Astyanax mexicanus: one gene and its partner. The protein of the gene in region 1 binds, or shares a complex with, the protein of each later gene. Links are inferred from orthologs where the notes say so. Each region holds a gene or a part of one and is shown in the gene's direction. Other genes may lie near its edges.

The links.
Region 2: the proteins of prelid1a (region 1) and triap1 are in contact, whole or in part, in a crystal structure (PDB 6I3V), measured with the Homo sapiens proteins. The link is inferred for Astyanax mexicanus from reciprocal best matches to the Homo sapiens genes PRELID1 and TRIAP1. Residues at the interface, in NP_037369.1 of Homo sapiens: Trp15, Asp16, Phe19, Ala20, Trp23, Gln24, Tyr26, Pro27, Val34, Leu35, Thr36, Glu37, Asp38, Ile39, Val40, His41, Arg42, Val44, Gln48, Lys49, Leu50, Leu51, Ser52, Arg53, Leu55, Thr57, Tyr79, Leu81, Asp83, Ser84; in NP_057483.1 of Homo sapiens: Met1, Asn2, Ser3, Val4, Lys12, Tyr15, Asp16, Phe19, Asn20, Trp22, Phe23, Phe27, Leu28, Gly30, Asp31, Ser32, Phe41, Tyr44, Gln45, Val48, Gln49, Ile52, Ile57, Pro58, Ile59, Leu62, Glu63, Phe64, Met65, Gly66.

The regions. Positions count from the first base shown.
Region 1 is NC_064417.1:34,028-46,039, reverse strand, and holds prelid1a (PRELI domain containing 1a), read left to right. Parts: upstream 1-6,220; 5' UTR 6,221-6,335; intron 6,336-7,385; 5' UTR 7,386-7,415; coding exon 7,416-7,507; intron 7,508-7,623; coding exon 7,624-7,849; intron 7,850-9,085; coding exon 9,086-9,199; intron 9,200-9,499; coding exon 9,500-9,578; intron 9,579-9,689; coding exon 9,690-9,811; 3' UTR 9,812-10,550; downstream 10,551-12,012. Other genes in the region: npy7r (neuropeptide Y receptor Y7), read left to right, coding at 3,128-4,243. UniProt on the Homo sapiens protein: Involved in the modulation of the mitochondrial apoptotic pathway by ensuring the accumulation of cardiolipin (CL) in mitochondrial membranes.
Region 2 is NC_064427.1:3,255,385-3,265,823, reverse strand, and holds triap1 (TP53-regulated inhibitor of apoptosis 1), read left to right. Parts: upstream 1-6,411; 5' UTR 6,412-6,556; coding exon 6,557-6,703; intron 6,704-7,665; coding exon 7,666-7,743; 3' UTR 7,744-8,233; downstream 8,234-10,439. Other genes in the region: sgsm1b (small G protein signaling modulator 1), read left to right, coding at 598-722, 840-922, 1,024-1,133, 1,232-1,328, 1,461-1,628, 2,649-2,737; srsf9 (serine/arginine-rich splicing factor 9), read right to left, coding at 8,864-9,082, 9,859-10,031, 10,162-10,340. UniProt on the Homo sapiens protein: Involved in the modulation of the mitochondrial apoptotic pathway by ensuring the accumulation of cardiolipin (CL) in mitochondrial membranes.

The DNA.
Region 1 (12,012 bases):
CGTCTTCATATGTGTAGATGTTTTCAATGACCAGGTAAAATGAATGGACACTTCTTTTCTCGATGCAAAGACCGTCTGTCACTAAGGAGATGACCTTTCAGCAAACTGTGCTGCATCTCAGAAGGATCCTCTTCAAAAGGCCTAGAAGAAGCGGGAATTTAAAGTTCAGAGAGATACTTAAATAAGTCATTTCTTTTATTGATACTATCCTCAGTTGACACAGAAGCAACCATATGACAACAAAGCTACAAAGGGTGCACTAAGTTTTAGCTTAATCGTTTATTGCTGGCTGGCTGCTGACAGAGCACTGCAATAAGAAGTAATCTCTGTCTGCTATAGAGGAGAAAAGCGGGAACCTGTTTTACACAAGATTGAAAACATTTGCGACGTTACAAGACTTTCTTACAAAGTGCTCTTCGGCTGGTTTTAAATGAGACATCGTAATTGCTTCGAAATGACCTGCTGCGTAACAACAAATGGAAGCACAAGTGCTTTTCATAAATATATACAGTGGGCCCCAGGTATTTTACGAAGGCTCTATTAAATAGTTCTGACAGCCTAATAATCACACACGTGCCTATAATTGCTGTAAAAACCAACAAAGAGAAAGCCTTTTGAAAGACTGTCTGATCTATACTTTAAAAGGCCACCCAAGTCCCCTAGATTTGTTTTCAAGTCCCTGATGACCAGAGACCAAATATCAAGCTGCTTATTGCCAATATTCTGCTCCCCCCTCAGCAGTGGACCCTGCAGCAGGACATTATTATATTTGAAGTCGGGTAATCGGCTTAAATGGCAATATAGTCCTTTGTTCGGGTCATGATCCATTTCACAAGACGAAGAATGTTCAGCACGTGTGGGAGGGGTGAACAAAATACACACGTATTTTGCTGCTCCATTCAGTGATTCCTACTGACAGATTGAAGGTCACTGCAGAATTAACCTTAACACAGACACGCCCATCTTTAAATTCAGTCATGTTAACATTGTTCTTCCTGGAGGTGGACTTTTTGTTGTAAAAAATGTAGAGACATTTATGCCTGTCATTTCCAGTCCAAAAAATGAAGCCATGAAAAGCAACCAGATTCTGCGCAGTATAGACCAGAAGCAGAGCCAGATGCACTTTTAAGGCTCTCATTGTACTTGCAGTAGTTTACATTTTTACATTACTGTTATATAGGATACATTAATTAAGTAATTTCAACAGCATATCTCAACTAAGGCTGCGTCCGAAATCGCGTACTTAAGCAGTACGTACTGGATTGGGGTGAGTACGCACTGCTTGTCGAGCAAAGCAGTACGCTTTTTCAGTACGCCAGACCGCAGTACGCACGCAGCCTCGGACGCACTACATCCACCATCTTACCTCTGACGCCCTTTCACCTCTCACCCCTCCTAACCAGCGGCACACTTTACAGAGCTTTACCCTAATTAATTTAATTAAAATCCCCTCATTAATCAGCTCTTATTAATAAATAAACCCCCAAACTGTCCTATTTAATAAACACTGACTGTAAATAAAACTTAAAATTAATATTTCCTCAAATATGAAATATTTAATAATAAATATGAACAGACTGTTTATTATTCATGAAGTATATTAATAATACTAGCTTATGCAACAAAACAATTATCAAAAAGTTTCAAAGATAAATACCAAAATGTTAATTAATTCCTGCCTTTCCATTTCACCTCAGAATTTCCTTTTCTAGCCTAAATATTTAAACACATGATCCTTATTGTTATACATTATCTTTTACTGACTGCATTAAACATAAAGGCAACATATATGCATTACTGATGTAAATAAAATATGCTAGAACCAGTCAGTTTCTGGAAAACTGGGAATCATATTTGGCAATAAAAAAATATTTTAGTTATTTTATTTAATATAATTTTTCCCTCACTTGCATATTTACACAAATACATTTCTCACAAAATACAAGAATGACAAGTCTTTAAAGTAGCTTTATTTATTTTTTTTATTCATTGTTCATTTTTTTTTTTCTCCCTCTCTTCATCTTCATCCTCTCGAGTAGGAAGGATAGTTGAATCTGAAACACACACAGATTAAAACAGTTTAGCTTGGTCATTAAACAAATATAATATAAATTCTGAACAACATAAAAGTCTTACCATCCTGGCTGGTTAGCTAGCTATTTAATAAAACTAAATGAAATGGTCAGATTTTGGTTATAATTTATTAATGTGATTTTTGGCAACCAGTCTGTCTGTCTGTTGAAAAGCCTCTCTGATATCAGCAGCCTTTTTCCTCAGATGAGTTTATACAGACTGATCAGTATTAAGTTAAAACTGCCCCAGCTCTTCAGCACTGCAGCAGTATACAGGGCTGTAGTGAGTTAGTAAACGCTGGTGTTGTAGAACAGAAGATTAATAAAGAGTTGTGATAAGTTTGATAACTCTAGCTAAGCTAACTGATCTCAGTAGCACAGGGCTAACGCTGCTCAGTAAAGCAGTTCAGATACGAAAATAAAGATGTTCTGTCTGCAACAGCATTAATAACAAACCCACACCCCTATAACTCGCTACTTTAACTTAAACTAACCCTCATAAATCTTTCATTTACAGCCTGATATCACAAACAACCAAAACAGTTTATATATCTGAATCTCCTCACCTCATAAACTTCTCTCTCTCTCCACTCCTCTCCCCCGCCGCTCCGCCGCTCACTGACGGGTCACTCAGCTCAGCGCGGCTCCCGGTGGATTGTGGGAAATATTAGCGGGTGAAGTGTGCTGGGCTTGTATACTTAAAAATGTCTCCCGGTGCAGTACGTCATCCGGGAACTTTTCGCGTACTCAAACTCGCCTACTGCGCATTCGGACACACTACCCGATCTCGCATACTGCTTTTGCATACTGTTTAGTATGGAAGTACGCGATTTCGGACGCAGCCTAATTATAGGGCTTGTTTATTAGACCAATCTTCAATCCAAAACTAGACTTAATCCATGTATAGAAAACCAGTTAATGATTTCATACACAACTCTATACTCTTGCAAGCTCAAGAAAATATATATTTTTTATAAAATAACAGTGACTTTATTTTCTGCAACAGGTACACGCTGAAAGTTCTTGGACTGATCTGAGAAGACTTTTAGAACATCATGGGCCCGTCGGATCCAGCAAACGGCACGAGTGAAGTAGCCTGTGGAGGAGGAGAAGACCACAACCTGGGCAATGACACCATGGATCTTCATAAACCTGTGTTTGTGGATGACATCACAAAGCACCTGAGCGTTCAGATTGCCCTTATAACAGCTTATACACTTATAATCTTGCTTGGCCTGATGGGAAACGCCTTGGTCATTTACATGATCGTTCTCTACAGAAACATGCGCACTGTTACCAACTACTTCATTGCCAACCTTGCTTTGGCCGACTTGATGGTGGACACTATGTGCTTACCCTTCACACTGGCATACACTTTACTAGATGAGTGGAAGTTTGGGGCAGTGATGTGTCACATGGTGCCTTACGCCCAAGCTCTAAGCGTCCATGTGTCCATACTGACCCTCACAGTCATCGCTCTTGAACGCTACAGGTGCATCGTGTTCCACTTGGGCCAGCGGCTCACCAGGTGTACTAGTTTTATCATCATCACCCTGACTTGGGCCTTCGCAGCCATCCTGGCTGGGCCTCTGGCTATCTTCAGGGAATACCGTTACGAGGAAATCCCATACATTAACTTACGGATCGCCGTGTGCTCTGAAAAGTGGCCCCATGGCACCAATCGGGACGCCATCATCTACAGCATTTCCATGCTTCTTCTGCAGTATGTTTTTCCACTAGGGATAATAAGCTATGCTTACGTGTGCATCTGGGTCAAGCTGAAGAACCATGTCAGTCCATCCAACCGTAACGACAACATCAGCCGACGCAAAAAGACAACCAAGATGCTGGCCCTGGTGGTTGTGGTCTTTGCTGTGTGCTGGCTTCCCTTTCACGTGTTCCAGCTGGCCAGTGACCTTGACCTGGTCCTCAAGTTCAAAGAGTACAAGCTTCTTTACACCTTGTTTCACATCGTGGCCATGTGCTCCACCTTCACCAACCCGCTGCTCTATGGCTGGATGAACAAGAACTACAGGAACGGCTTCCTCATGTTCTTCCGCTGTGAACATAAACCAGACACTATCCACCCCGAGGGCTCCTTCCGAACCCGGTCTTTGCGAGGACTGATGGTCAACGGATACAATGATGGGCATCCCGCAACCGCAGTCTGACCCTCCATATTGCTCATAAACCAAGAAGGACCCTCTAGGAGTGTAGAACCTGCTGTGATCCTCATAACCCTGACCTTATTTGCTTTTCGTATTCAGATATATTCAGCAGATTGCATGTGTTTTATTATGTATAAGGTACTACATTTAGCTAATAACAGTTTATAATCAGTGCTTGTCAGTCTAGTTATTATAATGGAAGTGCAAAGATGAAACTAAAAGATGCGAGAGTTTCATTGTGTTGTTCTGATTTGAATGGAGGTAAATTAAAATTTACATGAGAAAGCTACATGATTAAAATTGCTCTGATGACAGACGAGGCCTGTTTAATAGCTTAATCACCCAAGTCCAGTATTGGAGCACCCAGCCTTCTGTAGCAGATGGATAACATTTAAATGATAAGAGGAGGCCAGAAAGTGCTTAATTTGTTATTTCTCTGCATTTCAAACAGCGGCATAACGGCATCCAGAAAACATTGGCTATGTTGATGTTTGTCATTGTATCTGTTACTAAAAAAGAATTACCACTCATAATGCTAACTGGTGCTGGAAGTCACCTGTGTATTAAAGATTACAAGATTTGAGGACAGCTTGTCAGCGACAGGAAAACCTAACCACATGTTATAAGATTCAGAATCTACCCACAAGTCATAATTATACAGATTTGTCACATGAGGAATGTTTATGATGCTAAAAACGATTAAAGGAGAATGATTACAGGCCCAAGAACCTTTTTTGCATCATTTTCACTTAATTTCTGTTCTTATTTGTGTGTGTGTGTGTGTGTGTTTTCTCCTATATCGTGCTTGAAACTAAAAGTCAGATCCAGTCATGTCATTTACTGGGTTGCGATTACTCTTGTTATATTATAAATATCAACATGTACAATTTAATGTTTATTTTTTATTTGCCTTCAGTTGAAGATTTGTTACAATGATATGTTGTATATCTGTAGGAGGAGCTGATTCAGGGTAAAATGTGAGAACATTCTGCCCCCTGCTGGAATTAACGAGAGGCTGCAAGGTAACTCTAGTAGCAATCTTCTTGTAAAATAGTTTTATCTGTAAACGCATTACATTTAAATTAATATAAATTCCAGATTTCTTTTAAATATCACTTTTTTATTTTCAAAAGCATACTTTACATACATTATTATACATTAGTCTTTGTGGGGCATTTATAGCCACTCTAGGGCACTAACTGAATAAAGTAAGACAGTGGCAACTTGCAGGTTTTACAACTAAAAATGTATGCCAACATTTTGCCACTTTAATCATATTAGTATTAGTATGAGTATTGGTAATGTTTAACATCATGTTAGGTGTTACCCTTTCAACATCACTTCATGAGATTTAGAGCCACTTTTCAGTCCTAGGTTTGCGAACCATCCTTTAAAATATGGAATAATACCTTAATTTAGAAATAAAACACGTGTTCTCTATTGAACAAAAGTATAGGTTCTTTCCACTATTTTATATGAGATGAGCTGCTCTGCCTCAGCCAGTCAGTTGTTTTATTCTAAAGCACCCAAAACATTCTCTCCACCAATCAGAAGATTAGGGGTTAGGGGTAAGTGGTAGGTAATAGGGGGTAGGGATTAGGGAGTAGGGGGTAGGGAGTACGGAGAAAGGGGCAGAGAATATAGTGTAGGCAGTAGGGGATGGGGAGAAGTGGGTAGGGAATAGGAGGTAGAGAGTAGGGGAAAGGGATTAGCGACTAGGGGTCCTAGAGGATAAGGATTAGGGGTAGGAAACATGGAGTAGGGGGTAGAGAATAGAGAATAGGAAGAAGTGGATGGGGAGTGGGGGGGGGGGGGTAGAGAGTAGGGGATAGGGAGTAGGGGAAAGGGATTAGAGAGTTGAAGATAAGGATTAGAGGTAGGAAATATGGAGAAGGGGGTAGGGGTAGAGAATAGGGAGTAAGGTGTAGTTTATAGGGAGTGGAAATACGGACGCACCCTGCTGAGGGGCGGGGTCAGCCCTGCATCAGCTGCTCTCTGGCCGGAAGTAAGTCTTTCTCGTGGTGTGAGCGCGCAGGAGGAGGGCGGAGGAGAAATGATAAAGAATCCGCAGTAAAACCGCTTTTCCTGCAGCCCGGTAAATATCTGACCGCCCGCACGAGTCCGCTGCTTCTCCAGACCCCAGTTTCAGTTACTTTGTAAAGAAGTAATTCTGTGTTTTCATTTAGTGGTTAGCCGCTAGCCTAGCCTGCTCTGTACCTGGAGGACACGGTAATGCTAATGCTAAAGCTAGCGCGCTGCGATAAGGGACAGAGTCTGAAACTCAAGGACAGCAGCTGTTTATATTAACTTTATTTATATAAGCGGTGTTTATATTTGCGGTATTTATATTGTTTTTTATTTTAGGGTTATTTATATTGAGTGTTTTTTTTATATCTGGGTTATTTATGTATCTGGTATTATGTAATAATACCAGATAACTAAATCCGTTCTGACTACTCATATTACCAGGTCAGAACATCTTTAATGTAATTTTGATTGGTTATTTTACTCTTTTATTTTTACTAGTAAATGTCCAGTTACAGATCTACAGTTACTTTTTTCTAGTAGAAATGGTTCTTCTATTTTCATTGTAATTTTGACCAGAAATGTGAACTACAATGTTTAGTAGTAAAAAGATAATTCTGTACATCTATTACTGCAGTTTTTAATTACAAATACAATTTTATGATAGATAAGTGAATGAAATTCTATGTTAATAAATTAAAATAAATACTATGTAATCCAGGTAATATGATTAATCACAATGGATAATAAATCTGTAAATTCAGGCATTATTACTAGTAAATATTTCAGACCTGATATCTGAAATGAGAGTTTCTACTAGTAAATCCGCCTTCCAGCAACGCATTATCTTGATCAGAAAAGTGTTGCACATTTACAGCATTTGTCTAATGCTTCTATCCAGTGTTTGAATCATGTTACACCAGTAGGTGAGTGTGAGGTTAAGGCTCATGTGCTGCTCAGCTGTGAAATTAAACCCCAGTCTGGAGAATGGTGGAACTATCCACAGACTTACACCAACTGTAGCACTTCAGCTAGCTTGAAAATATACAGTTATATTGATCATTTCATTTTGCTAAGTTAACATGTCTAATCATCAGTGAAATGTGTGTTCTGCCTGCAGTTCTTCGCCTATGTGGTTTAATTGGGAACAATGGTGAAGTATTTCAGCTGTGTAGGATTTCTTAAAGGAACATGGGACCAAGTATTTGCAGCATTCTGGCAAAGATACCCAAACCCTTACAGGTAAAACCGAAGCTTTTTCAGTGAACTGTTTAGTGATATACCAAAGGTGACTTGGATCATCATGTAGAAGTAAGACAGTTTTCTCACATAATCCCTTTTTTTCTCCTTCTCCTCAGTAATCATGTTTTGACTGAAGACATTGTCTTTCGGGAGGTGACTCCTGATAACCGTCTCCTTTCCAGACGCCTCTTGACCAAAACCAGCCGAGCACCACGCTGGGCAGAGAAGTTCTTGCCCAGTCACATGGCACGCAAGGCCTACATCATTGAGGACTCTGTAGTGGATTCTAACAACAGAACAATGGTCACTCTCACATGGAATATCAGCCATGCACGTGTTATGGTGAGCTGCACTGAATCTGTTAAAAACCTTTCTGTTAGTCTTGTATTGTTTTCTGTTGTATTCGGGCTAAATTCTTAGTTTGGTTGCCGAGCCCTTATGGTAATACAGTGAATGAAGTTATTGGCTTGTATATGACTAAACCATGTGATAGAAAAATCATAATATCACAACATATTTCTTAATTTTGGTTGGTAAAAGATATATTCTGATATTGATTTAACAAATCAGCACTTGTGATGTATGTCATTTACTTATAGGGCTGAGCGATATGGTTAAAAAATTATAGTACGATATATAAAGATAGTCACAGTATTTATCACAATGTTTTGGTATTCGTACAAAATGCATTAGGATTGGCATATTCTAAAAATATATGCTAATAATCTTTCATACTTAACATGATGATATTATTTTTTTATTACATTTTTTGTGTAGTTTCTAATCAGGCAAATCATTTTACTTGCTGCTGTTAGTGAAAGTAAATGTGTAAAAGTTTTAGTTTGTGTGAAAAAAATAAACTGTGCTAAGTTTAATTTCTTTAATTTGATTTAAATAGTTTCTAAAAAGATCTGAAATGGTTAAACTATTAAATGTGATAAACCACACTAACAAAGGATCTCTAACTGAGGTAAACAGGACTGAAGGGATTGTTGATTTCAGATGAATGGTGTACATTTTTATTGTGCTACTGTGAAAATAACACTGACTTGACATAACTGTGTTGGCTAAGCAATATGAAAGCAGTATTAAAATCTAGTGTTAAAATGTAGGTCTAAATTAAAACCAAAATGCAGAAACAGGTGTTGATCATGTGTTCAGTGTAGCAGAGCTTAGAACTGTATATTATCACATTTATCATTTCAATGAAAATTCTATATTTTAATTATATTAATTTTAGATTTTGCTAAACAAGAAATTAATTATTTAAAATTAAGTGATTTTGCTGATGATGCTTCAGTTCTAACATAAGCCATGCATTACAATGACAAGTGTCTTGGTTGTTTACATCTGTAATGGATTTTTGTAATTGAAATGGCTTAATAATGAGAGCCTTTTTGGACGCCTTCCATCACCCAGGCCAAAGATTCAGATTCATAGCCAAAGAACAATAAAAACCCACTTAATAAAACATGTTAATTATACTTTTCTGAATTTTTGTGGTAAAATCCCCTGTTTAGTTTTGCACCAGCTAGTTTTGTTTGCAGTTGTAACTTGTTTATGCTTTTCTGCCTGCAGTCTGTGGAGGAGCGCTGTGTGTACAGAGTGAACCCTGACAATAGCAACTGGACAGAGATCAAGAGAGAGGCTTGGATCTCCTCCAGCCTCTACGGCCTTTCCAGAGCAGTTCAGGTCAGTGGGCTAAAGGGCGGTCGTTAGTGTGGAAACACAGGAAAATCCTGGGGGTTTTGAGTAACATGGTGCCGGCACTGTCTGTCATTTTGTGCTGTATTACTGTTATAACCTATAAAATTACCAGCGGGTACTATAAATAGCACAACCAGTACAGACTGGTCATGAGAGTGTATATGTGGTCTGCTGACAGCTGAGCAGCTGTTTAGTCTGTGCTTAAATTACTTCAGTTAACCTTCAGCATTTCTTGGCAACAGCATGAATTTTCATTTCTCTAAATGGCCTCTGTTTTCTCTACAGGAATTTGGCCTGGCGAGATTTAAGAGCAGTGTCACAAAGACTATGAAAGGATTTGAATATGTCTTGGCCAAAATGCAGGGTAAGAATTCCAGTTCTTCATGTGTGGTATTGTATGAATAAGGGGACATTCTAAGTTATTAGATTGGTTTTAATGCTATCTTTTGCTAAGCTACATTTAACTGTTATGCAGGTGAAACTCCTACACGGACGCTGGCAGAGACGGCGACTGAGAGGGCCAGAGAAACGGCGCTTGCTGCTAAAGAGAAGGCGAAAGGCTTCGCCTCTCAAGCACAGAAGAAACAATATGTATGACTTGAAGACTGACACTTGACATTGTTTTCTCAAGCCTGTGCTTGAATTTGCTGAGGCTTTCTGAAAAGGGTCTGTCCGTTCCAGTTTGTAAAGGTATCCGGGTTCACTGTAGCACTTCTCCAGCAGCTGGATTGCCTTCCCTCTTCCGTTAGTCCAGCAAACTCCGTGAACCCCATTCCTACCCCTGATCAATGTGCCCTTCCACCTGTAAAATAAGTTTAACTGTCACAGGTACAACATCTTCTTATGCCTTGCATAGAAAGTGTGAGACGTGTATCTGTTCCAAATCCTTACTTTTCCTGCTTTCTTTTACATGGTTGTTTTACACATTTCTTTTATGTCTTTCTGTTGATTTGCTTTTGTTGTGATTTGTTAATTATAAAGGATATGATCCAAAACTGATTGAAATGTGCCCTTATGATCAATGTCTTTTTTTATTCTGCTGTGTACAGTTACTTCATTGCTTCAAATTGAAGTGATATGTGCGTTGATGGGTCCACATAAAGTGATGTTTAAATACTGCACCAGTGTTCAAAAGTATGGAAGAAAGGATTGCAGTGGACGGCAGTGTCTGTGGATATGCTTGATTCACAATTAACTTGTAAGCAAAACAATAATTATAAAGTGTATAAACAAATGGTAAAGCTCTTAAATAAGTACAATTTGCTTACTGTCAATAAACGTTTTTCTATCCAGCACAGGTCATGTTCTTTCATTAAACTGATGTCATTAATTTAAATGAATGTGTTGAATTTTTTTTGGTGTGAATTTAGGTGCCAAATTGATACATAATATTACATTTATATAAATAAAGGGATAATTCCACAAAGGGGGTACCTCAGTGAACTGGTCTTTTTGAGACTGGGTTATTTTGTTCAAATTAATTTCCATGAATCAGGCTTAAGTTATTTCATTTTATTTGTATGATTTAATTATAAATGAATTAATGTATTACAAATGCAAATGTAAATGAGCTTACAATTACTCAGTATATTAAAAGGAATGAAAATGATATATATATATATATATATATATATATATATATATATATATATATATATATATATATATATAATATAACTAATAATAATGCATTAAGATCTAATTGAATTAATAAAAAAACAATGAAACATTTTCAGAGATATGTTTTCTGCGCCCTAGTGGCTATTCCATCCAGTGGGAAAATGTAAAAAAATGTAAAGGCAACTCCAAGAATAAGGGATTAAACTTTTGTTTTATATATAATTAAAAAAATAAATTATGCATCAAATATTAAATGTGATATGTACAAATGTAACTGTTAAATACTTAATAATTGGTCAGATGGTCGAACTCAATGTTTTTCTAACATAGAAGTTTCTGGTAATTAATTATTTAGTAATATGGAACATTTTATCATTAAAAAAACATTACCTGCATAATTGTAATTTAATTCACTGGTTTATGGACTGTTATAGTAATGTTATTAAACTTATTTGATGTCACAAAGCAGTTTTACAGTGAAAACAGGTCAACGCCTCTTATGAGCAGCACCACAGAGATGGCAGTAATTGTGGCGACAACAGTGGCAAGAAAAAACTCCCTTTATTGTTTTATTGTTGTTTTATTTGGATCCTCATTAGCTGCTATTGCAATAGCAGCTATTCTTCCTGAGGTCCAACTAACATCTCACACATAAATATGAATCACACGTCATAGTAAAATGCACATAACAAAAAAAAGTTCTATACAAATAAATACATTTTACAACACAATAAGCAATCAAAACAAAAAGAAAGACGAGAACAACATATATTTGTATACTAGATGTACACAAATTCATAGACAATACATACACAAAATAATGATAGTAAGATTAAGAAACTTTTTAAGAAAATAACTGGTATGACTGATCATTACTATTTTAAATCTATCCCTTATAGTTCACATTCTGCATGTGGACAGATATTCATATATCGTCCATGTCTTTTAGGTAATGTTTTTTAATTAGTTTTTTGAACCTTGTTTTGCTATTAGCGTTCAGTAGGAAATCAGGTAAGCAGTTCCACTCTTTAATGGCTCTGTAAATAACTGTTTTGAGTTTTTCAACCTTTTCCTCGCTTACTTTTCCGTTTTTAAAATTGACCATTTTTCTCCTTCATAATTGACTCCCTTATCCTTCTACATCACTGTTCGCCATTTAATTTGCTCATCTTACTTTG
Region 2 (10,439 bases), on another chromosome or scaffold:
AGGGCAAGACAAGAGAGAGTCAAATTCAAGAGGAAGAACCAATCAGAATCTTTACTTCAGCTGGGGGCAGGTCAACGGAGAGTCAAACTCTGAGGCAGAACCAATCAGAATCCCTATTCCAATTGCGGGCAGGACAACAAAGAGTTTAACTTGAGATGAAGAACCAATCAGAATCTCTATTTTAGTTGGGGGTGGGTCAACAGAGAGTCAAACTCAAGATGAAGAACCAATCAGAATCTCTATTTAAATTGGGGGCAGGACAACACAGTGTCAAACTCAAGATGAAAAACCAATCAGAGTCTCTATTTCATTTGGGGGCAGGACAACAGACAGTCAAACTCTGAATCTAAACCAATCAGAATCTTTATTTCAGCTGGTGGAGGAACAACAGAGAGTCCAACTCAAGATCAAGAACCAATCAGAATCTCTATTTCTTTCAATTCAAGTCTTTCAAATTCAATCCAATGGAATATGAATACAATTTTAAATGGTCTAAATAATGTTTTGTGGTGGGTTAAGTGGAAGCAAGTTGCAAAAATGTGTGAACCCCTGCTTTACATTTTTTTTAAATGACAGTTGTTACTTTTTCTTTTACAGCAAGAGCTGCTGGACTTGTACACCCTCAATCTGCACCGTATCGATAAAGACGTCCAGCGCTGTGATAGAAATTACTGGTATTTTACCACAACAAATCTGGAGAAACTGCGTAACATCATGTGCAGGTGAATCTGAAATACGCTGGTTATTTAGCTGCTGCTGTGTGTTTCTGCACATTGACTGAAAACACAGATACCTAAATATCTTTTTTAATTTGGCTTTTTGCTTGATTTTCCTTGTAGCTATGTTTGGCAGCATCTGGATATCGGCTATGTGCAGGGAATGTGTGATTTACTCGCGCCTCTGCTTGTTATTCTTGACGATGGTACGTTCACACTCAGTTTGCATTATTCTCTTAACCTTTAGATTGTATTGTTTAAGACTGATATGGACAGCTTGCTAATCAAACCCCTTTGTTTTTGTTAGAGGCCATGGCTTTTAGCTGCTTTACGGAACTCATGAAGAGGATGAACCAGAACTTTCCGCATGGAGGAGCTATGGACACTCACTTCGCCAACATGCGCTCGCTTATTCAGGTACGACCTCATTAAAACACGTTTCTAAAGCAAGCGTGGGGTTATTGTGTCTCTAGTTTCTGTTTCTAGTGAGGATTTTTCTGTTTTTTATTTTTCAGATTCTTGATTCTGAACTCTTTGAGCTGATGCAGCAGAATGGAGACTACACCCACTTTTACTTCTGTTACCGATGGTTTCTTTTAGACTTTAAGAGAGGTACGTATTTTTATGTAGAACCGGGATATCTGTGCATATATGTGTATATGTCTATATTTTTTTTATTTTCGCTTCCAAAAGGGTTAAATTTGATGTATCTCATTTTTCTGTTGTTTCTGTGTCCCTCCTAAGAAATGGTGTATGACGATGTGTTCTCTGTGTGGGAAACCATCTGGGCTGCCCGCACCATCTCCTCTGGCCACTTTGTGCTCTTCATTGCCCTGGCCCTGGTTGAGCTGTACAGAGACATCATTCTGGAGAACAACATGGACTTCACTGACATCATCAAGTTCTTTAACGGTAAGACGGCTCTCAGGTCGTTTTGGAGCGTTTCTCCCTCTGTTTGGTTTGGTTTCACACAGGCACAAATTTAAATGCACGAAAATACGGATCAATAAACCACACAAGCACATTCTCTCCTCTGATTGGTCAGAGCTGTCTGCCATGAAAGCAAGAAAGTAAATATAGTGAGAAGATTCTGTGTTCTGGCGTATATATATATATATATATATATATATATCTGTGCATTTTAAAGCTGTGAGCAGTGAACGCTGCACATGAAGCATGTGTAAACAGCATGGAGCAGCAGAGACCATGTTTGTTCATAGCTGTGGTAATTATTTGCCATTATCTGGCTAATGTTTCAGATTAAACTGAACCTTATCAGCAGTTTAGCTTAAATAAAAGGAGTATATTTGATATAGCTGGGTCGGATCAAGATCGGATCATGTTCTTACCACAAGCGAAACTACTCCAGAGTTTGTTTGTTTGATCAAACCTCACTAAGGGTACAAAAAACGAACCAGAGTCCGTTTTTACCTGACCGAATAGTGCAGGTGTAGAAACAAAAACAAAAAAAAACAACGCCAGATATGACATGGGTCCCACTGTGTCCCATGACTTTTGGCATGTGCTGTGTGAGCTAAAGAATGCTGCACTTATCTGTGAGATATGTGTGTGGGATCTCCTGCATTGAATGTGGTTGTGATTGACTTTTGCCGAAGACTGCTTGTCACTGGTTCACATGGACAATTCTAACCAGATGCCGCCAGTCACGATCCACCGTTGGCACTAATATTAGCCTCCCTGACTGGGACATATGTGACACTGTGGACAGTAGATCCAGATCCATAACTTTGGAATAATCTTTCAATTTTTATAAAGGAATGAGCCACAGCGGATAATTTTAAGTCTCTTTTATGTCTATTTTTTGTGTTAATTTGAATTAGGTTGGTGTTATATGATTTTATTGTAGAGCACTTTTTGTCTTTTAAATCTGCTGTATTAATAAAGATGAGTTGACTTGACTTGTTTCTACAGAAATGGCTGAGCGACACGACGTCCCGAAACTTCTGGTGATGGCCCGAGACTTGGTCCACAAGGTCCAGATCCTCATAGAGAACAAGTGATGTGGCGTCTCCATTTCTCCATCGGCGCTCCACCGTCTAATTAAAGAAAACTACTGCTTGTGCCCTATTTCTGCGTATCATACGTTTAAACCCAGCTGATAAAGCGCATCTTTCTCTTGACCTCCTGCTGAGAAGCTTCTCAGAGGGTTCTGTGCCGGGAAAACAGTGAGAGTTGGCCCAAAACACATTTTAAACTAATGTAGTGCTGGAGAACAACAACAGCCAAATAAAATGATAACACCTGGGAATATATATATATATATATATATATATAGATATATGGTTGATCATAGTTGATCAAAGTTTTGTATTGGAAAGACTGAAGTGGGCTGAAATGTTAATTACAGTACTAATGGTGATGATAACAGAACCAAATGATGTGTCTCTACCAACACAGATTCTTTGAAAAGCACAAAATATCCGTTTTTGCAAAATGTAGTATAAAGAAACCACTATATTCAGAGTGGTGATCACTGCTAAAAGACGTAGAACCCAGATTCTTAAAGTATTACATTACATTATGTACATTATGGCATCACAATATTTGCACGAAGAAGATAAAAAACCCCAGTCAGTGTCAGCACATCCTCCTGTTTTCAGGTATTATGAATTGAGCTTGTATTATACAAACAGAGTGATTTTCTTTTTTGTAATTATGACCTAAGCTTTCTGCCCCCCGGTGATGCTCGTCACTCTGTGACACTCAGTTTAGCTGCTACACAAGTATGTACCTCACTCAGCGAAACGACCTTAGTCGAGAAGAAAAGAAAAAAACAATCTATCTATAATAGAAGTATAATCTCGGAGATGTGTTTATTTTTATCAGTCTTTTTTGCCTTAAGTTCCTTGGTTTAGGGACAAGTGCCATGTGTTAGTTTCTGCTCAGTGAGTGATTTAAAACTACAAGGTCTCTGAATCAGAATGTGGGCCGAATGAAGAAGCCATTATATGTGAGACTCGTTCATGCGTTGATGTGTTTGGCATATACAGTAGAACAGTCACAGTTGTGTATAAAGGTTTTGGCATCCCCTTTATTCATTTTTGAAGTGAAAAGAAGGAAAAACTGCATAACAGAAAATGTAATTTAATGCAAATCACAATGCACATTCACGACTTGTTTTATGTGTTGAATGAAAAATAGTTGAGACGCAGATGGTTGGATGTCAGCAGGGGGCGAGTATTATTGATTGGTTGATCTGCATATTGTGATGTGTCTGTGTACCAAACTACACTGACACATCAATAAAATCACAATAAAAGCGTGTTTTTAAAGTTAGGAAATGTTTAGAAAAAATTAAGCAGGACTGGTATGTTTCATTAATTCAAATGAACACATTTCAGCTATTAATAGAACAAATTTGATGCTAGGTGTGAACAGGATTTTGGTAAGACCTGATATTTTTAGCAACAGGGTGCATTTTTACCCTGTAGGCGTAATTAAATTAATTTCAGCCCTTCAGATTAGAGGAATCTGTGATTGTTGAGTGTTATTTTCTAATAACATGTCTTGGTCTAATTAGGATAGTTAATAAAGGGTGTGAAAATCCAGAACTACAATTGTCAAAAATAATGATTTTGCTTTAGTATTTTGCTTTAGTTTTTAGTAGAACCCTTTCAGAACCTGCATCCATTACAATGGACATCATGTATTTTTTTTATTTATCTTTATTTTTAATTTTATTTATCTTTATTTTTAATTTTCACTATTTGAGAGCTGTTGTCCATCAGAATAGACTATAAACCAGCCAATGAACAAGTTTATACATCAATAAAACAGTAACATGGCCCCACCTACTGCAAAAACCTTGGAAAAAACAACAATACTAGAGCAACTGGGGCAAAGTAACAGTCATTTTTACTAATTTATTGTGATTTGGAAACCTTTTAATCATGTTTAGGAATGAATTGTGAAATACAAAAGGTCAGTATTAAATATAAAATGTTGTACACACGCTTCCAATGCAATTTATTTACAATTTACAATTTACAAAGATTTATTTGCTATATAGATTTTATAGTAGATTATTAGTCTTCTTTTCTGTGCATTACAGACAGAAAACTGCTTACTTAATTTTTTTAATCTCTATCACTGGAGATCATTCAGTTCTGAAGGGGTTAGCCAAATTAAAAATGAAAACTCTGTGTTAAGATTTGCAGTAAAAAAGGTAATTTACTTCATAAGTTGTGCTTTCTTCATTTAACTTCATAAATGAAACAGAAAACATGTAATCTGCACCGGGGTGCCCAAACTTTTACATACGATTGTATAACATTTACATGAAGAGTGTGTGTGTGTGTGTGTGTGTGTGTGTGTTATGCTCTGAACTACCAGCAACCGAAATTTTTGTATGGTTGTCTCATACTTTTAGCACTGGGTTCAGTGTGATTGTAGGAATCTGCTAAAATCTTGTAACTCAAACCAAGTGTTTTAAGTGCCAGTGTTCTCAACACTAACCTTCACCCGTCCATATCTGTGTGTTACCATTTCTTAATCGCTCTGTATACATTAGACTTCAGAAACCAATAGATCACACTATAAAAATATTCAGCGAAATGAAAAAAATTAAATTATTTGTGAATTGTAAAAAGTGTTGTATTTGAAAGTGACGATTTATTTATGAGAAACAGAAACCGACAGAAAGATAACCGAGACTATGTGAAAAGATTATATTCTATGCTTATATATTTTTATTGTAATCTGTGTAACTACATAGTATATTGTCAGAACGTCGTGCCACTAAAGATAATCTGTATTGTAATATGGAATAAATGTGAACTGTGGTGAACGCTTTGTGATTTGTTTCTTTTTATTTTAATATCATCTGTTAATCTGATCGTGACTGTTTACACTGAAGGGGATTTGCTAAAATGTACAACAATTTTTAGGGGAAAAAAATACTTAGTGTATAAATAGATACGGATGTTCACTAATGTACACTCTACAAAATATGCAGTCATAATAATAATTATAACCCTTTTAATATGTCATTAACATGAGATATTGTGTCACAATAACCATATACATCGCCATATATTATTAGTAGAAAACCAACATGTCGTAATTCTCACATAAAACATCTTGTAGAATAAACACATAGTTTAGCTAGCCTAAAAAGCTGTAAATTGTACTGTAAAAGCTTAAATATAGTAAATCTATGATTTCTCATTTCCTTTTCTTTTCAATATGGTTTACATTTAACATTACAGTTAACATTTACACAACATTTAATAACGATTAATAACATTTAATTAAGATACAACATTTCATATCATTTAATAGCGATTAAAACTTTAGCGAATTATAACATTTAATTAAAGTAATAACATTTTAAAATAATGAGTAATAATATTTGATAAATATTACTAGGATGGCATTTAATAATAACATTTATTAAAGATGATTAGCATTTAATAATATGCAATACCTTTTATAATATTTACTAAAGATTAATAACATTTAATAAAGATGAAAAACGTTATACGTTATAACGTTATATAATCACGTTATACCATTAAACAAAGCGTATTAAAATGTCATAAAATGAATAGGAATTTATTACATTTAATAAATATTTACAGCGTTTTATAACATTTAATAAAGATTAATAAAGATGAATATAGTAAAGCGGTGTTCTGTTGGTTTAACAGCAGCTGCTGCGTCATTAGAACGCGACCCGGCTGCTCTCTGACCACGTGATTCTGCAAAGTCAAGCGAGTCTCCTGCTGATCATAAACACAGAACCGACCCGCAGCAGAACCAGCTGAACCTTTTTGAACCTGTTAAAGCCCTGTAAGAACCGTGTTGGAGCCCCGCGGAAGATGAACAGTGTGGGGGAGGGCTGCACGGAGCTGAAGAGGGAGTATGATCAGTGTTTTAACCGCTGGTTCGCTGAGAAGTTCCTGAAGGGAGAGCGGAGTGGAGACCCCTGCACTGAGCTCTTCAAGCAGTACCAGACCTGCGTACAGGTACCCAACCCGCACAGCCCGCACAGCCCGGCCCTGCGGCTCTACAGCCCGGCGGAACACCGCCCCGGACTCCAGAGTTTAGAGATTATCTAGATAAAGCAGAACCTGATTTATCACCATCACTTTGTTACATTATTATGAAGATCAAAACCTACCGAGATATATTTACATTTAAACCCTTAAAAACATACATATTAAAACATTACATATCATTCACAGTTGGCGAAATGACAGAACATTAAATAGAAGAATATATATTTATTTCAAGAATATAATAGTGCATTACATATTATAATTGCATACAAAATGATATTGCACACCCCTAACTGAGATATTTAAAAAATCAAGAATTTGATCAGATTTGTAACAGAAGTCAATGATCCAGAATGATCAGTCATGATACTAATAATAATGCATTCCGAATATCTCCATATATCCAGGATTAAAGTAAAATAAATGATCCTGGACAGATTTAATATGTCAGAACAGTGTGAATTTTTCCTTTTGCTAAAAAAAAGCCAAAAAGTTGTACCTTGATGTGATACTTATTATAGATTGTCATAGATTATGTATATATAGAGTTTTTTGGAGTGTATTATTAGTATCTTAACATTCTGGATCATTGACTTCTGTTACAAATCTAATATATATTTTTTAAATATATATATATCTCAGTTAGGTGCATGTCTTACTATATTGTATGCAATAATACAATTTCTATTTTGTTGCAGTAGTGTACTCTTGAAATACCATTAAATATCGTGATATTATTTTAGGGCCTAGAAAAAGATGAGTGACTAGCAGAAATCAGTCCTTTAGCTTCTATAGGACACAGCACTAATCCCAAGATTTTTTGGCATGTCAGTGTATATGTAAATCTAGTATCTTAAATTAGACTAACTTATTATTTAAATTATTTTCCTGTTTTAACCACAGTGTTCTGATCAATAATCATTTTACAGAAAGCCATCAAAGAGAAGGACATTCCTATCGATGGTGTGGAGTTCATGGGGCCAAACAAGGAGAAGCCTGGCAGTTGATGTGATCTGAATACAGGGCTGCTGTCCTTCACCCAGACTCTATCCACGGCTGGATGGCCCACCTGATCTTCCTGAGCTGCACTGGTGACGTTTGCATCATCAGGAAACACAAGACATGAGGACTTGATTTTGGGACTGGGGGTAGAATGTAAAACTGAATGACTGAGTAATAAATGTATTGTAGGATCCTGGTACTACTTCAATATTTTAAACTCGGTCAGTGAATCACTAAAAAAGTGATATATCTGGTGGGTTTACTCAACTCGTCAGTAACTTGAGCATGCACGTCTCAGGTAGCTGGTGGAGGATGTTATGCATTCTTGCATTGAATGGCTGTTTAAATTATTGGGTAACTGGAATAACACGCAGCTATTACATATTAACATGCCTGAAAATGTGACTAAATAATGTGTTTTTGTATATTAATAGATTTGAGGAGTGGAAATCAAAGTGAAAAATATGAAGAAATAAAATGAATGAAATCCAGGAATTCTTATTGATGTACTTGTGTTCAATAATGACCAATGACCAACATTTGGGAGAACAATTTCATGACTCAATGCTTTATTTGAAAAAAGAAAAAAAAAAAAGCACTTTGCATACTTCCATTACGTGATACAAAAGGAGTGGGGGAAACACAGCAAAAACAATGCAAAAAAAAAAAAAAAACAATTAAAAAAGTTCATCCTTTCATTTAAAACAAACAAAAAAAACATAATCTACAGATTTTGAAGATTGATCAAATGACTGCAAATCCTGTCCCAACAACAGGTGTGTTTCACTAAAACCACTGAAGATGGACAAAAGTCAAAAGCATGATGACTATTCTAAATGCCACAAAGTTGAAGAAGTGTTCACACTTTCACAGGAGAATCCGGAGTGACGTTTTAGGACACCTGCTCCATCACATTCGTTCACTCTCTGTCTGGCAGCTGCCAGTTATCCAGCTAGAGGAATAATTTTGTTGAGACCGTTTCTGCACTTTGAAGGCCTTTGGGGTGTTTTAGTGACGGAATGTAAATTACAGAAGGTAAGAAACAAAGCAAAAAGAAAATTAAAAAGGTAGGAAATGATTCGTGGGGGTGGGGTGACTTGACCAGCTCTGGCGTTTCTTGGCTCTTTACCGATAGTGGCGTGGGGGCGGGCTGTGGTGCTGGGGTGGTGCTCGTCGAGGAGGGGGGCTATGACGAGACATATGGCGTGGAGGGGAGCGGTAACGAGGCGGGGACCCTCTGCTCTGATAGGGGGGTGAATAACGCCCACGAGACCTGGACCTGGAACGCGAACGACCCCAGCTTGTTCCCCTCTCCTCCAGAACTCTGATGTAGGCAGTCTCTCCCTGTGCAGCAAACGGAGAAACTGTTAAACAAATCACTCAGAAGCGCTTCCCTTAGTTTTTTTTTTTATTATTAAAAAGCAGTTCAGTTAATTTGTACATTTAATGAATAATTTAGCATTTCATCTTAAATACAGTTGCTGATAGCAGCAACAGAAACATTGTCCTATGGTTGTGTGGACCGCTAACCCAATGCTTATGTTCTTTTAAAATTCTCTATACTAGATGCCCTAATAGCTAAACTAGGCCCTATAGAAAAAGCCCACATAGCCTGATTCTGATTGTATTAGGGCAATATGACTTTTTATCATATTGTGTTAAATACTACGATAAACTCTACTTATAACAACATTATTAATTATATGTAACATTTTGATAAGTGGTTTCTAAGAATCTGCCACTACACATGCATGTTTTCTGCATGCCAAAACGATGCAATATTTTTTTTACCATATTGCCCAGCCTAAATTACTACTACACCATTTAAAAAAAAAAAAAAGAATCATTTGAAATACTAAAAACTACACTATTGACTTAGCATACAATAGAGATATGGAAATGACCACAATAGTTTTTGATGTGCGTTTACAAAAAAATATGATAAATACGTATCCTTTTATTCAACCATTTTTTCTTAACAGAATCTCATTTTTTGTGTGGATTTTTAGAATCTTAATTTTATTTAAGGGGTGAAAATGCATTATTATGCTATAATATTATATAATTACGTAATTTTTATTTTTTGTTGGACATAGTCTACCAAGTTTTTTTTTAATTACCTGGTGGGATCTGAACTCTGTCCCGTCCAGCCGACGCAGAGCATATTCCATGTCTTCCCGTCGAAGGAATTCAACCACTCCCTCGCCGTCCCTCTGAACATCAGCAAAGCACACATCTCCTGCTTCCCGCATGTGATCTTTCAGGTCCTGCCAGCTGCCAGTAGGAGGAAGACCTGAAATGAAAAATATAGAATTCATATCTCTCATCAATACGAATACACTTTTAGAGACCGACCACACATAAATATTACTAAATTCTTAGCTAAAAGAAATTCCAGAAAGGAGGAAAACCTTTTGACCTACCAGTCACTATAACCCGGAACTCAGATCGGCGAGATGGAGGTCCAAATCTTCCCCTTGGTCCTCCTCCTCCACCGACAGATCCACCAAATTTGGATCCTGAGGAACGAGGATATTCCACACGCAGCTTACAGTCTCCAAATCCATATCCATTCCTTCCATAGACAGCATCCTCCGCATCCCTATGGGAAGAGAGTAAAGTGCTCCTAACTTTCTTTCTACTGAGGGACACTTGAGAAATGTCTCCTCCATGTGTTTCCTGACGTCAGTCAGTCAGTGAG